2 linked regions of the Macaca fascicularis genome follow. The protein of the gene in region 2 interacts with the protein of the main gene of each other region in a pairwise test. Links are inferred from orthologs where the notes say so. Each region holds a gene or a part of one and is shown on either strand. Other genes may lie near its edges. The genes, in order: IRF1 and IRF9.

The links.
Region 1: the proteins of IRF9 (region 2) and IRF1 interact in a two-hybrid assay, tested with the Homo sapiens proteins (2 studies listed by BioGRID and IntAct). The link is inferred for Macaca fascicularis from reciprocal best matches to the Homo sapiens genes IRF9 and IRF1.

What each region holds. Positions count from the first base shown.
Region 1 is NC_088380.1:139,012,363-139,015,289, forward strand, and holds part of IRF1 (interferon regulatory factor 1), read right to left. Parts: coding exon 2,865-2,927; intron 2,040-2,864; coding exon 1,863-2,039; intron 1,752-1,862; coding exon 1,702-1,751; intron 1,594-1,701; coding exon 1,464-1,593; intron 1,281-1,463; coding exon 1,158-1,280; intron 614-1,157; coding exon 564-613; intron 1-563. UniProt on the Homo sapiens protein: Transcriptional regulator which displays a remarkable functional diversity in the regulation of cellular responses.
Region 2 is NC_088381.1:91,979,647-91,983,057, reverse strand, and holds the end of IRF9 (interferon regulatory factor 9), read right to left. Parts: intron 2,936-3,411; coding exon 2,594-2,935; intron 2,493-2,593; coding exon 2,366-2,492; intron 1,705-2,365; coding exon 1,589-1,704; intron 1,430-1,588; coding exon 1,296-1,429; 3' UTR 682-1,295; downstream 1-681.

The sequences.
Region 1 (2,927 bases), on a different chromosome or scaffold from region 2:
TTCACCATGTTAGTCAGGCTGGTCTCGAACCCTTGACCTCAGGTGATCCACCCGCCTTGGCCTTCCAAAGTGCTGGGATTACAGGTGTGAGCCACCGCCCCCGGCTGCAAAAACTTCTTTATATTCACTTTTAAAACTGAAGCAGAAAAAAAAACCTGGAGGATAATTTGCTAACTTTTTCTATAAAGCAATCATATTAATGGATCCTAAAGGCTGATTATTGAAACCTGATGTGCATTTCCCAAACTAGCAGGGCTGGGGCATGTTGGGGCAGAGGGTGCAGGCCAGGGACCCATCGCTGATAGTGCCTGACTCACAGAGCTGTCTGATGCCCCCAGGCTTGCTTCAGGATGGCCTGTCGGAGGCCAGGCCTCCCACCTGCCTTCCCTACCCATGGTGGCTTTCCCACCAGTCAAGCCACGTGAATGTGGCACTTGTGGGATGATGCAAGCAGCCAGGTGACAATAGCAGCTGCCCATCCTCTGATTTGGAAGCTTCACTGGTTCTCTCTCCTCACTGAGAAACGGTCACTTCAAGAGTGCCCAGGTAGGAAGGGGCTTTACCTTCATGATGTCCTCAGGTAATTTCCCTTCCTCATCCTCATCTGTTGCAGCTGTGGATGGAGAAAGCAGAGAGGTTGGCTGGCAGTCAGCCACACTCGCCCTGCAGTTCCAGTTCCAGCCCACCAGATCCCCTGCCCTTTCTGTCTCTCTCTCTCTGACACACACACACACACACAGACACACACACACACACCCCTCCCAGTGGACCTGCCTGCCATGGAGATTCCAGAACAGGACACCGGCCTGGTGACTCAGCCTCTCAAACCCTGAAGCCACGCCTCTTCCCACCCCCACCCCACTTCCTTCCTCACCCTCAGATGCTGGGCTGCAGAGGAGGAAGGAGAAACAGCACCCCAAAATACAGCCCCTGGCCCCCTTCCCTCCTCTCACCAGCCCCCACTGTGCTGCAGCCCACTCTGAACTGCCTTCCTAGTGTCCCCGTTGCTTGCCTCCCCCCACGGGGGCTAAGACTGGGCAATGCCCAGCTCAATCAGCTTAGTGCCAGGTGGAGTTCTGAGCGTCTTTTCTCTCTCAGGAAGCCCTTCACAGGACCCAGACAGTCAAGCAGGCAGGCCAGGCCCCAGGAGCACTAACCTTCAGAGGTGGAGGGCATGGGTGACACCTGGAAGTTGTACAGATCACTGGTGCTGTCCGGCACAACTTCCACTGGGATGTGCCAGTCAGGGAGAGTGCTGCTGACAGCACACGGCGACAGTGCTGGGGGACAGCAGAAGCCATGGGTCAAGGCTGTGTGCTTTCTTAGTTTGCAAGACATCGAGCGCCCCCCCACCAACCCTGCAGCCTGCACTAATGGGCCACCATCTGCCAGCACCATGCCTCCAAGAGAAAGAGCTATCCCACTGACTTGTGGGGTCCCCTGCCAGACCTGCACCAGCTCACCTGGAGTCAGGGCCCGCTCCACCTCCAAGTCCTGCATGTAGCCCGGAGCTGTGTAGCTGCTGTGGTCATCAGGCAGAGTGGAGCTGCTGAGTCCATCAGAGAAGGTATCAGGGCTGGAATCCCCACATGACTGTCAAGGGAGAAAGCAGCTTAGGCCCAGGCCCACCTTAGCATTTCTTCCACTGCTCACCCTGGCCCACAGGTGACCAAAGGCCTGGCTGCTTAGGACCATACTCACCTTCCTCTTGGCCTTGCTCTTAGCATCTCGGCTGGACTTCGACTTTCTTTCTGTGGAGCAGATAGGCTGTCAGCCTTGGTGCAGGCTCGCCAGACCCAGCTGACCTTCTTCTACCCTCCCTCCCTGAGGGTGCTTCCCAAGGACCCAGAGTCCTTGGATACCTTTTCTCTGGTTCTTGGTGAGAGGTGGAAGCATCCTGTACACTCGCACAGCTGAGCTGCCCTTGTTCCTGCTCTGGTCCTTCACCTCCTCAATATCTGGCAGGGAGTTCATGGCACAGCGAAAGTTGGCCTTCCACGTCTTGGGATCTGGTTCCTTTTCCCCTGCTTTGTATCGGCCTAGAGGACAGGAGAAAAAAGAGGATCGTCAGGGCCACAGGTAGGGATCCTCAGCTGCCCCTGGCCTGGTGGAGGAAGGTAAGGGTACCCCTGAGCTCTCATGCAACCAGACAGCCACAGTGGTCAAACTAGCAGGTACTCCAGTGACACTCTGCAGGTCCTAGGCCCTGGACCTTCTCAAATGCCGAGGCTTGGCTTAAACACATCTAGCGGGCCTCAGTGAAGGGCCCAGGTAGAAGCACTAGAGTCCCCATATCCCCAAAGTGGACTATCTGTGTCCCAGACCATGCCCAGTCTTCCTCCTTGGGCTATCAGCAGCCACAAGGTGGGCTGGGGCTTATCTGATATTTCCAAACATGGGAGTGGGCACAGACTGGGCAGCAGAGAACAGTAACTAATGGGTGGGCTGACTGTTCTGAGATGGGCCTAGAGCTCCATCTTTCAAGGATAAAGGAGGCTACCAACCACACGAGCCTTGGACCAAGGGCCTTGGTCAACATGAAGGCAGACCTGGCTCTCTTTCAGTGCCCTGGCTTACAGCTGCTTTTCACAGATGCTTTTGCCAGGGAAAACTCTCATCTAGCCACAACCCCCCTGAAGCCACACACTTTCTAAGATCTTGGCTTTAGAAATCCCTTTGAGAATTTGCTGAAATGATGGACTCTCTTCTCCAGAAACACTAGTCTGCCACCAGCCCCTGTTCCCAGTAATTCTGCATATTGTCTCAGGGAGCTCAGGGACCCCAGTGAAGAGCCTCTGTGTTAACGTTAGTGCCTCCTCTTGTCTCTACCCTGGCCTTCCTAGGCCTGAGTCCCAGGCACACACCTGTGTGAATGGCCCAGCTCCGGAACAAACAGGCATCCTTGTTGATGTCCCAGCCATGCTTGG
Region 2 (3,411 bases):
TGAGGTTTCACCATGTTGGCCAGGCTGGTCTCAAACTCCTGATCTCAAGTGATCCACCCACCTTGGCCTCCCAAAGTGCTGGGATTATAGGCGTGAGCCACTGCACCCAGCCAGCCAGAGTGTCTTTTATGGGGCTTAGATAGAGCAAGGAATCCAGTTTGGGAGTACCCTGCTGGGGTGACGGTGAAATTTGTGCTGGAGGAAGAGGTGCCAGTAACAACAGGTACAGGTTTAGCAACTCTTCGCTCTGACTCCTCTGTTCTCAGGCCCCAGGGCCTCTAGACCATAGTTTCAGGTCACCTTCAAGTGTCTCCTCTTCATTTAGACCTCCAGTCTAACCTCAGGCCCGATGTTGAGGCCTTCTAGCAAGAACTATGAAGCCCAGACTTTACCATGTGAAGTTGGTGGCTATAGTGCCTGGCTGAAGGCTTGATGCCCCTTTCGATGGCCTATCCCAACCCACTCCCTAATCTTGTCTGCCCAGAGGGTACCTCTGTAGAGTGCCAGGCCCAGGACCCACAGGGCCCAGATAGCATATTAGCCAGAACCTGTGGGCAGAGGAGAGGAAAAAGGCTGGAGATGTCAGCAGGAAGAGAACCCCAGTGCCCCACTCTTAAGTTTACATCTCTATCTGTGACCACTGCTACCTTCTTCTCCCAGAAAATCAGATACTGATTCCTCTTTCAATAAAATTTTATTTTAAATCCTTAGTGAATATCTAAGAGGAAAATATAAAGTGCTTGTCTTTTTTTTTTTTTTTTTTGAGATGGAGTCTCGCTCTGTCGCCCAGGCTGGAGTGCAGTGGCCGGATCTCAGCTCACTGCAAACTCCGCCTCCCAGGTTCACGCCATTCTCCTGCCTCAGCCTCCTGAGTAGCTGGGACTACAGACGCCCACCACCTCGCCCGGCTATTTTTTTGTATTTTTTAGTAGAGACGGGGTTTCGCCATGTTAGCCAGGATGGTCTCGATCTCCTGACCTCGTGATCCGCCCGTCTTGGCCTCCCAAAGTGCTGGGATTACAGGCGTGAGCCACCGCGCCCGGCAGTGCTTGTCTTTAGAGTTGGGAGGTCAGGGAAGAGGGAGAGGCCCCCTGGGTTCACACCATTTGGAATTTCCCAGTCCCTTACAGATGAAAGAGGGTGTATATGTCAAAATTAAAAAAAAAAAAAGGAAAAAAAATTAGCCTTGAGTGCTCCACCAGCCAGTGTGTGCGAGGATTTTCAGGATACAATTATCACAGACAACTATTGAGACTTATCACAAAGAGGACAGGTCAATCGTGTGAAGAATGAGTCTATTTCAAAGGAGACAGGAAGAACAAAGAGGTGAGGTGGAAGATGGGTACCCCACGCTCTACACCAGGGACAGAATGGCTGCCTGCTGCTCTGGAGTCTCCTCCAGCAAGTATCGGGCAAAGGCCTGCTCCATCTGTATTGGAAGAGATGGAGAAGAGTGTCTTAGTGAGTGCATCAGGGACAGACACCACCCCCAGGAGCTCCTTCCCCACTAGGAAACCCCCTTTGCCTCCTGAAGTACCACTGCCCCCGCTCTCATTAGATGGGTACTCTGCCCCTGCTCTGAGCTCACCTTCACTGTGATAAGATTCTGTGGAGTATGGCTGGGGCCACGGCTCTCTTCCCAGAAATTCAGTGTTACTTGGAACTTCGGTGGGGGGCCTAGGCCCTGGAAGTACTTGGCCAAGTCTGAAAGAGAAAGGGTCAAGGGTTGGAAGAATTTCAAAAAGAAGAGAGGGCCACAGGCAGGGAGGCAATAGTGAGAAACCCATGATGGAGAGAGGTAGGAGGGGGTCCTGCCACAGCAGGAGCTGCAAGGTCAGAAGTACTTGGAACTAAATGCTACTCACCCGTGTGCAAATAGGGAAAGGGTGGCCCTGCCTCAAATAAGTGCTTAGAAGTAGATCACTGCACAGCTGAAAAAGCTCTCTGCTGGGAGAGTTTAGAGTCCTCCCGGGCAGCAGCCCTGGCTGCTAACACAGATGTGCCCAGACCTTTGCTGCTTGCTCACACCCTTCCAGTGCTAGGGTACCCATGGTGCTGGGAACACCCACACTCTGCACCCGTGTACACCTGGTCCCACTCTTAAGGTCAGGTTTAGAATTGAGTAGGAGCTGGAATTGGATGGGAGAGAAGCGCAACCCTAAGGCATGCCTGGACTGTAGTAGAGACAGTGCAGCCAGGGCCAGAGTGTGTGATGTGTGCCAGCTCTCCCAAATCTGTGTATATAGGAGAAGGCCATGAAGCTCAAAATCTCTGTGCCAATTCTTCTGTGCACCTTCACATAGTGACTGCATGCTTCACTGTGATGGTGTTCTTTAAGATACGACACTCTTGTGCTGGGCTCTACCTGAACCACCTCTTCCATTGTCTTGGCTGGAGGAGAGCTGCCAGGTAGCTGCCAGGCTGGGCATATGACCACACAGGATGTGCACCACACAAGTGCAGGAGTGCCATGCATAGGCTACATGGAGGATCTGCTGGCAGATAGGGAAGTGGCAGGACCCACCAAGTTGGGCCCAGGGGGTACTAAGAGGTAGGGGGTGGGAGCTCAGGTGCCCAGAGAGAGCAGCCTCACCTCTGCGGAAGCAGGCGGTTCTGAAGAGCTCCACACACTCGTTGCTGGGCAGCAGATGTGGGCCTGGCCCAGGTGGAGCCTGGGGTGCATTCCAGGAGATGGGGATGGGGCAAAGGCGCTGCACGAAGAGGCCTCGGGGGTTGCTGGCCACCAGGATGCCCCTCTCAAGCTGGCTCAGCAGGCGCTGCGTGGGCTCCAGTGGGCCAGGCTTGGGGAACAGCACCTGCTCCATGCTGCTCTCAGAGCCTGAGGGCTCAGCCACAAGGCGGCAATCCAGGCTTTGCACCTGGGCCTCGCCCACCACACGCCCGTTGTAGATGAAGGTGAGCAGCAGTGAGTAGTCTGGGGAATAGAACAGCCCTACTTGGTGCTGGAGGAGCATGCAGGCTGGCAGCAGCCCCTCCCCAGGGGAATAGCTCCACCTTCCCTCCCTGCACCAGCCAGGGGACTTCTTCTCAGGTTTTCCTGTCACTTAGGCAAGTAGCTAGTATGTGATTGACCATGAGGCCTCAGGGTTTAATGACCAGGGGCTTGTAGTTTACTAGAAGGTCCCTTGAGATTGGGCCTCTGTTTGGCCCAATGAAATCAACGTCTCAATGTAGATTTCCAGGAGAGTGTATAGGGTGATATTTTTGGGAAGCAAGCTTTTTGGAGTCTGGCCAGGCATGTGGAATTCTCGCCACCTAGAAACCAGTGCCTTGGGCTATGGTAATGTGGGCACAGTTTGCTGTAAGCCCTGACTGACTAGATAATGCATGCACAGTCAAAGGTGGAAGACCTCGGGGCACAGGGCACAGGAGAAAGTCAGAAATGCCATG